Linked DNA regions of Drosophila melanogaster. The protein of the gene in region 2 interacts with the protein of the main gene of each other region in a pairwise test. Each region holds a gene or a part of one and is shown on either strand. Other genes may lie near its edges.

Evidence for each region.
Region 1: the proteins of CG9192 (region 2) and CG13031 interact in a two-hybrid assay, tested with the Drosophila melanogaster proteins (one large-scale study listed by BioGRID).
Region 3: the proteins of CG9192 (region 2) and CG14563 interact in a two-hybrid assay, tested with the Drosophila melanogaster proteins (one large-scale study listed by BioGRID).

The regions. Positions count from the first base shown.
Region 1 is NT_037436.4:16,722,743-16,725,919, forward strand, and holds CG13031 (uncharacterized protein), read left to right. Parts: upstream 1-2,118; 5' UTR 2,119-2,148; coding exon 2,149-2,160; exon of another isoform or gene 2,161-2,215; coding exon 2,216-2,572; 3' UTR 2,573-2,633; downstream 2,634-3,177. Other genes in the region: Dab (disabled), read left to right, coding at 1-599; CG13026 (uncharacterized protein), read right to left, coding at 2,965-3,177.
Region 2 is NT_037436.4:1,236,617-1,239,971, reverse strand, and holds CG9192 (uncharacterized protein), read left to right. Parts: upstream 1-1,652; 5' UTR 1,653-1,736; coding exon 1,737-2,672; 3' UTR 2,673-2,839; downstream 2,840-3,355. Other genes in the region: galene, read right to left, coding at 1-153, 218-344, 2,889-3,135, 3,195-3,355.
Region 3 is NT_037436.4:21,841,220-21,844,369, reverse strand, and holds CG14563 (uncharacterized protein), read left to right. Parts: upstream 1-1,983; 5' UTR 1,984-2,014; coding exon 2,015-2,312; intron 2,313-2,392; coding exon 2,393-2,463; 3' UTR 2,464-2,562; downstream 2,563-3,150.

The DNA.
Region 1 (3,177 bases), about 15 Mb from region 2:
TTGACGATGGATTTGAGTCAGATTTTAATCAGAGCTCTCCGCCGCCGGCGCCAGCAGGTACCGCCTCCAGTTGCAATTCCACGCCGGCGGGTCCAGTTTCGGCAAATGCGAACAACGGCGGATCGAAGAGCCTGTTCCGCTTCTCCAATGATTTTTCGGATCGCGAGAAACGGGAGCAGTTTGAGATGGATACACCGCCAACCTCAACACCACCAATTACGCAAAAACTGCGATTTGACGATAATGTTAAGGTCTCCCAATTCGATGATGCTGCCTTTGAGGATGACTTCGCCAAGGCATCATTCGATTTTGAAAAGGAACAAGCGGGTTCTGCCACAGCAGGTGCCGGAGGATCTGGTGCTATGAGCAGGAAGCAAAATATGCGAACCAGCAAGCTGCAGCAGCGCCAGGAGCTCATCAAGAAATCCGAGTCGGTAAACATATTTGCCAAAAAGCAGGAGGATCCCTTCGAGGATGACGAGTTCTTTAAATCACCAGACCAGGAACAGGCCATGGATCAGCACAATGATGACACTGAGGGCGGCAAATTTCAGTGGAGCGAGGACGCGAACTTTGCAAAGTTCGATGAAAACATGTGATTTGACCAACTGTTTGCCAAGGCATCGGGGCAGCGACCGGATCCGGACATCGATAACCACAACTATGCGGAGATCGATGTGGTCAACGACACGGACTTTTCATTTCTGGCCAATCTCAATCACTACTATCAGCAGCAGCGACTGCACAGCCTGCGACAGAGCTTGAATCGCCATGTTTACTGCAACTTGCCAGTCCAGCAGTTGCAGGAGCAAGTGAATCAGCCGATGAAGAAATCCATCGCCACATCTACAAGTCCCTGGCATGAGCCAAAGGTCAAGTCGAAGCCGCTGCAGCAGCTGCTGAGGAAGCCGAAAAAGTGGAAACTCAAGCGCACCCTAGATGACTTTCTAAAGTGTCTGATTATTGCGTCCTCGGAGCATGTGTACGATTATGATGTGCTGTGGTAGGATTGGCGGATTGGGAAGATGAGGAGCAGTCTTAGAGAAGAGAGAGAAATAAAGAAACCATACGATATTTAATTCGCCACATATATCTAGTCAACTCAATCGCCATTTAAACTTGCAATATCGTAACACTCCAACGAGGACTGTAGAGTTCCCTCTTACTCCCAGTTCTGCCCAAGCCAAAACATCACACAGCTCTGATCCTATTCCAAAGCCAGATTGTATATATAGATTTATCCAGCAGTCGATTCCAAGCAAGCCATAGAGAAAACTTAAACGAGAACAAGTGTTTGTTAAAGCTACTCCCCACTCGTCAAATAACGAAATACTCACGCCCCCGCCCCGAATCATCAATCGATCCGCAAATCGAAAGCAACTAATTAATTGCCTATGCTAGATGTCGTCTATTCCATATATATCGAATTATCCAAAGTGCAACCATTGTGCTAGCATACAATACCACATATATTCCTAGGGTACGTTTATGTTTTTGCATACTACAAGCATAATTTGTATGATTGTTTGATTACATAGTTAACTAACGACTAATTAGTTTAATTCCACGGCAATGTGTTTTTATGATTTGACTATATATTATACATAACTATATATTTATACGTAACTGAACAAGCAACTGAAACTGAACGATCAAGTAACTCCCAAACAGCTAAATAATATACGATAATTATACATACGAACCTATTCTTATACATATATATGTAATGCAATTATACGAATACGATAGTTATTGTCAAGTCCCTTTGTGTAGGGGATGTAAAAATTGGTTTTTGTCCCGTCATTTTGTTCTATTAATTAAACTGTGAGAAGCATATTACAAATGGTTTCATTTATTTGGACAAGTCAAGTCGTTTCCAAACTTTTGATTACTGAATTTTGTGTGGCAACATACATAGCCAACATATATAGCCATATCGGATCGTATGCAAATGGGTGGCGGTTGGCTGCTCTGCCAGCACCTGCCATTTAGGCCGCTTTTGGAGCCAAGTGTTTGACAATTTGGAGCGCCAATTAGCCAGGCCAGCTGTGGTCTTCTACGCCCACAATAACTATAAAACCTTTGAGTCGATCCAAGCCAATGCATATTCAGTTTTTGGATCTTGTGGCAGCAGCAATCTCTTTTGAAATGCAGCAAATGGTAAGCAAATTCTTTGGCAAGGATTTTGTAAGATTTGGCTCTTTTCTGTTTTCAGTTGATTCTCGTATCCCTGGGACTGCTGGCCAGTGTGGCAGCCAAGCCAGCTGTGGATCCAGCACTGTTTCCTTCGGCCTCTACTTTCGGACTCTATCCAGGATCAGGTGGACCTTTTGCTGGCGCCTATGCTGCTGGTCCCTTTGCTGGCGCTCCTTTGGTTAATCCTTTGGGTGCATCTCCCCTGGCCGTATCCAGCAGCCAGCGCTTGGACTACTTTAACCAGTTTAATGCCGCCTTTGCTCCGACTGCTCCTGCCCGCATCCTGGCTACTGCTCCATTCCCTGCAACTGGCGCCCGACTCATTCAGCCAACTCGTTTCCTTGCTCCTGCAGTGGCAGCACCATTTTTCTTTTAGAAAGCATTGAAATTGTTCCTTATTTTGTCGTGTTATTCAAAAATAAAAGTACAAGTTGGTTAACCACAATCATTGTGTCACTATTAAGTCGGTATATGGCTAAACTGTTGCTTTTTTGGCGACGTGCCAAGTACAGTGTATACAGGTGTGATATTCCTTAATAACAAATAATCGAATTGAATGAGCATGTTCAATAAATGGACAAAGAAACATTTATTTATAATATCGAGATTGTCTCTCTATATATATATATATATATTTTATACAATTTGTTGTATGAATCTAATATGAAATAAGTTTTTGATTAAATTTGTCATATATATCATAATATAATATCATTTGGTATCGAGTGTTATCACAATGTATTAAAGGTAGGCTATGTCCGTTGCAGATCACCAGACACCCTTGTAACCATATCCAACGTTATAAGTGGGATAGTAGTAGGGATAGGTGTACGGATAGGTGGTGGCGTATGGGTAATTGTAGGCGGGATACGCCGGATAGCCACCGCTGTACTTAACATAGGTGTTGGGATAAGTGGCCACCGTGGCGGGGGGCACGAAAACTCGATTCCAGTTTCGAGTGACAAACTGATGGCTGGTGGC
Region 2 (3,355 bases):
CGTTGGGTCATCTTCATGGAGCGCCGGAACGAGGGCGGCGGCTGGGATCGGGCATGGCGCTGAGAGCGCATCGATCTCTGCCGGGATCGGGCATTCCTCGGACGTTTGGCCGTGCGGGTGCACACATAGCAGCATATTCTCCAGTACAGAAACCTATATTGGAATATATGTATGAAAACATACTCATTTAGTTCTCAGCTCATCGATGTCAACTCACCGAAATGATGTGGCCATGACATCGCCAATGTTGGACAAGCAGATGAGCATCAGCGGAATGCCCACAATGGCGTAGAAAATCGTTGTCACCTTGCCCCAATCCGTACGCGGCGATATGTGACCATAGCCTGTCCAGAGAATGACAAGGAACACATAATTACTCTTTCGCAGATAGGTAAGATTGATTTTGAGTCACCTTTCACCTTCAACCTCGTGACCGCAAAGTTCTTGAAATACTAATGAATCTAAGACCCGCTAAGGCCCAATCCCCAATCCATATGTACTTCTTTTTGTTCATGCCAAGCCCATTATCGCTTCGAAATAGCAAACATGGCATTTCAAGTCTGCCGCTTTTGGCCTTTACGGAAGTGTGCAAATTCGTAGATAGCATTCTGTGCCCCTCTTCGCGGGGTTCTATCTGATGGGCGTCGGTCACTAAACCCATTTGTGTGCTAGCCGTAAATCCATATCGGGGAAAAGTGCAGACGAAAAGCGTAAAACTAAGCTCCCATCATCAACAGCCAGAGCTAATAAACTGATTTATACCAAATACTTCCACTCGAAAGCCGAAAAGTTGAATGCTCTAAGTGGGTTAAAGTGAAAAAGGTTTCTGTATACTTTTAAAGTAGGAGAGTTTATAGAGTTCTTGGGGTTTGCTTAAGGCCTTCGATTGAAAACCTTCCATGCACCACTTCCCCTTTTATGAGTAATCACTAATCACCAACACCCCCTGTGTGTTAGGGTATACTAATAATGAGAAATTCCCATCGTTAAAATCTAAAAATCTGAAATGCCAGAAAAGATAATCACGATCGGTCAGTGGCGTTTGACCTTGCTGTTGTTTTGACCACAAACAATTGGATGGCAGCAATCCACTTTTGGTTTCATTTGACACGCTCCACACACCCTCGCTCCCTTTGAAAGCCATCACCACCCGAATGAACCCATTTTTAGAGGTCAACCACGTGCTGGCTGCTCACCTGACTGTGTCCGAGCTGAATCTTTGACTTGTGACTCCCGCCCTGCAAAGGAAGCAAGCATATGTTTTCCAACTCATGGAAATTCCCAGGAATAAGCTTTTAGGTCGATCGGTGGTGGTCAATTACCGTGATTTATGCGATTTCAACGTGATCGCTGTGTGGACAAAACCAATTGTCCGACTCATCCGCTTGCCTCATTGGTTCCTGGGCGGATTGCGGTCTGGTCGCGCTTCAGGTGAATCAACGTGGGCCAAGACTTGGGCCACAGATCTCTGAAGATTTCTGTCTGGCACGATCGTTGATTCATTGGTCGGGCAGCCGCCGAATGCGAATACCTGCGGCTGCCCTCGTCGCTTGACTGAGTTTGTGCGTCGTCATCGCCGCTGATGTCTCTGGCGGTTGTATTTGTTTTTTGGTTCTCGGGTGCGGTTATATAAGTAGTGTGTGCCGGTCGCATTTTCGAACTATTCTGTTGCGGGAGCTTGCCGCGATCAAGCGCAAAAATCGGGTCAGTGTGTAATCGAACAAAGCGTGCCAATCATGCCAAGCTATTGCCTCATCATCGTCCTATGCCTTCTTGGATCAGTGGCGGCTAAGTCTTCGGATGGAGATCGAGATCAGTGGGTCTGGAGGTCCTACAATCGCAGGGAGCGCTCTTTTCGGGACATCAATCGCAGTTCCCCCATAAGGAACTCGTACGACGAAAAGCTGAGGCGGGAGCCCACGACTCGAAGACCTTTTCCGGGCGAACCGGAGAATGATGAGATAGAGGACTATGCCGATGTGGAGCCCACCAGGTCATCGGACACTCCCAACGTAGGCACCCGTCAGTTTAATCCATACGGTGGTCAGACCAATGCCGGACAGTTCGGAGGACTTGGAGGCTATAACGGAAACCCCGGAGTGCTAGTCGGACCTGGCGGACCCACCGGAATCATAGGGAGACCGCAGCTATACCCCACTCCCTATCAGCCAGGCTATGGTGGATTCTCTGGAGCTCAAAATGGCATTAGTGGATATCCAGGCGGATACGGAGGAGTAGGACAGGGACTTCCCGGAGCTGGATTCCCCGGAGCCAGCGTGGGTGGTGGGTTTAACAACTTCCCCAGTAATGGACTTGGCCTCAACCAATTTCCTGGCAATGGGCAATACCCTTACGGCTCCTATCCAGGTGGCGACTTCGGTGGAAGCCAATTCGCGGGCGCAGGTGCCCAGTTCCCAGGATTGGGACAGTACCCAGCAAACCAACAGTTCGGTGGACCTCAGTACACCGAGGGCTATGGTCTGGCAGGAGGACTGGGCTTAGGTCAACTTGGAGTAGGCAACGGTGGACTCGGATACGGTGGAAGTTTTCCACCTCTAGGAGGAGGCTTCGGCTATGACGAGAAATCGCCAGCTGTGGCCGATGGTAAGAGTGCTAAGAGTGTGGCAGCGTCACCCAGAAAAGTGAATGATAAGCTCAGTAAGAAGGTCTAGAGCTTCGTGTTTTAGAAGTGGAAGGTGTTATGTTAAAGATATGGAACTGAAGCTATTACTTTCCCACTCAACCCTCCTTTTTCCCTTAGGCTGAGTTGGAAGTAGTCACCTTAGTGTAGGCATAGTTTACGTATAGACTAAGCAAATAAATTCCCATGTTTACTCACACATGACTTTGAAGAACTCAATCCATAAGCTTAAAAAAAACATACTCACCTATGGTCGTTATCACAATAATCGAGTAGAACAGGGATCCGGCAAAGGTCCACTGGGACTTGCGCAGATCCTCGTCGCCATCCCAGCCGTCGGCCTTGATGGCCGTAAGGATTTGCTTTTCAAAATTGGCCAGGTGCTTGCTGACATTGGCCATCCAATCGCTTTCCCTTAGGACCACTGCGTCGTCGGACAGTAGCCAGATATTCTCCGTGAGATTAACGCGAAGATTCTGTATGTCTCGCTTCACCTGCATGGGGATTTTGGATTTTTAGCATTTGAGACCTTCCAGCAAAATCACCCACTCACCTCTAGTTCGTGGGGTCGTTCGAGATGCTGGAAGAGGTAGGCACCGCCCACGCAATAGGAAACCACGAGAAGCACGAGCAGCACATGGGACACAATGCAGGTGAGCACCTTCCACGAGAAGCAGATGGCAGCTACACAGCGTCCGCGTTGCGGCTTCGCTG
Region 3 (3,150 bases), about 21 Mb from region 2:
TTTTGTTGCTGCTGTAATTTCGACAGCAAACAAAAGTTGCTGCTGCATCAAATTTTTAATTAATTACACGTAAGAATGCTGAAAAATTGATGGCTACAAGGAGGTTTCTTTCGTTTCGGACAAACAATTAGCATTTTACTGTCCCAAATATGATGCGAAAGTATGAGGGTAAATGAATGAAAAGTTTGTAGAAGTTTTGTAAGGGATAGCTTTCAATTTTTCCATCGGAAAGTGGGGACGGGAGTTAGGCTCGGCATAGACAAACTTTTTAATATGAAAATTGCTCGTTTGGGGTTTGGAAAATTAAGTCCTTAAATTGGGGACTGGGGAAGCGTACCCTTTCTAGAATGTTAACTTTCAAGGAGGCATTTTTAATGTCGAGAGATAGAATTTCAAAGTCGTAATATAACCATAATTTCCTTCTTATAAATAAAACTTACAGACACACATTTTTTTTAAGAATATAAGGCGTGTTCACTATGCATTATATGTAATATTATTTTGGGTCATTGTAAAATATATTATTATTTGATAATAGTTTTAAGCTTAATTTATTTGCACAAGATCTCAATTACAATCTTTTTATGAAACCCTTTTAAATAGTACACAAATTACCAAGCCGAATTTATGAGCAAGTCACTCGGCTCAAACAACTGAGGCTACTTTAATATAGGGTGTCCCGAAATCCGTGCACATCCAGGCTTGAGCATGCGTAGTCGGCATCCGGCCGGAGCAACTCACTCAACTACTGGAGGTCAGCGGGAATGCAACACCTACGAGGCTCAAACCTACCTGAGCTACCTGGAGTAGTGCGGCAAAGAAGAGAGAGTCAGAAACCACCCCGGCAGAGAGAGTGAGAGAGAGAGAGAGTGAGTGAGCGGGCGGCGGAAGGCAAACGTCAGCTGCATGGGAACCCAAAGGCGGGACAATTCCAATTGTGACATTTTGCATTGTTGGCCAGTGTAATGACACACACCTACACGAACACGAATGAGTTGGGTACGGGAAAGGCCTTAAATATTTATGAATGGCATGTTGTATACTTTTCGGGCACATATGCAAGAGCTACAAAGTGTATTGAGAACAATTCCTTGCAATTGCCCACGACTTGCGTTTTTCACATTTTTAAAAGCTTATTTACTATGCGAGATGTGTAAACCCACCGTATCTAACATCACTAAATTACTAAGTTGTAAGCCTACTTTCATAGCCAAGAAGAATAAATTAATCTATAAGTACATTGAACTTTCCATTATGCAGTTCTCAAGTATCACTTTCCAAACCGACAGATTCGCATTGTGGAATAGTTTCAGCGTCGATGCATGACCACCAAGGCCAAAATTCTGTAGCCAAAAGTCCCTCAAACTGAACTCTCGGCCAACGACCAAGCTGATCGCAGTGGAAAATCCGAAAACCAATACGATTCCAATTATCAGAATCGGAGTTATTACGGTTGACCTCATCCGAAGGGCGTGAATGAGCATTGACCACGGTCCAGGTCGGCAATGAACCTCAAAGAAGTGGAAAGCACCACTGGCATCGCACATGACTAGGCGGACCATCAACCAATTTTAAGGTTAATGACTGTGTTTACGCAGAATAAATGTGAACCCCTGGCAAAAAAAGCGGCTGACTGACTAATTTAAATTGATAGCAAAACGGCAATCACAAATCAGACGAGATGTGGGATGAGTAATCGCGGCGATAGGCAAAAAAGAGCCAAATAGTTTTGTTTTGTTTTGTTCTCTTGTTGTTAACTTGCACTAAATACATACGTTTGCAGAGCGTTTATATTGGGATTTAAAAATATTGCGTATACGCCGGCTGGGTTACGCACGAACGAGCAAACCGAGCAGCCGCTGATGGGCGCCCGATTAAGCTCCATTAAAAAAGCGTTTTATGCTTTAAAATTGCAAACATTCGGCGGCAAACTCTATAAAATCAGTTAATGCCGGGGTTTTTGCATTCAGTCAACGTTCGAGGATTACACACGATAAACATGGCCAGAAAAATCATGTCAGTGAAACAGTCGAGCCGCTCTCCATGTTGTTGGTTCGGTTTGCTCCTGGTCGCCATTTTCCTGCAGCCATCCGCGAGCCAATACTACGGTTATCCCTATTACGGCGGCGCTAATGCGGGAGCGGGATCGGGATACGGGAACATATACGGCAGCGGCATGTACGGATACCCCTACAGCTACGGCGGATATCCGTACTACTCGTATCCCGGCTACAACCCGTACTCGATGTACGGTGGATACGGGCAGTACGGATACCCCTATGGAGGATATCCCTACGGCGGCAATGGCATGAGTGAGTTTCCCGACTGATAGCACCTCGGTGCCTAGCACACAAGTAATCTACAAGTGTTTTGGACCTGTTTCTTCCTCTAGACGTGGCCTACGCCAGCAGCAGTGGAGGATTCGCAACAGCCAGTGCGGGTGGAAGCGGATACTACGGCTAGGAAGCGCGAAACCTGATATAGTTTAGTGATAGGTATACGGTTAAGTCATCCTACCCCATAAGTGTGTTAGTGCTAATAAATATGATATTTATGTTCTATAAGTCAAGACTTATTCTTATGACGTGTCCAAAACTAGTGTACCTGGTAAAAAATTGTACACCTAACTAGTGCCTTCATGTATACCACCATAATTTTATTAGCTCCCGGAACTGATGTGATAATTTGTATGTCTTTTAGCACATTTGACCCTATGTATGTTCCGCCAAGTTTATGCTGCCATGACTCTTTGTGGGATCATTAGATCCTTTTCTCAGCTTTTAGCTTTGAGTCAATAACTACGTACGCATATCTGGTCGTTTTAATAGTTATAAAAAAGCCTTGAGGCTGTGATCCCATATATAACCATATACCGAAAAATATTTTTTGCTTCGTGATAACAAATCGACAAAGTTTGATCCATGTGCATTCTTGGCGCCTTATCGATAGCTATGGACAGTGTTGTAAGGTGCACGATAGTAAGGGGGGCAAAATTGTATCGGTCTGCCGATAGTTCCCGGCCGTTAGCCAAGTCCAAATTCGACCGACCGACCAATAGTCTCGCAAAACACAAAACAAAGGCACACCACACTTCGTGCTCTCGCCGAATTCCGCCGCCGTCGCCTGAAACTCACACAAAGTAAGCCCGAA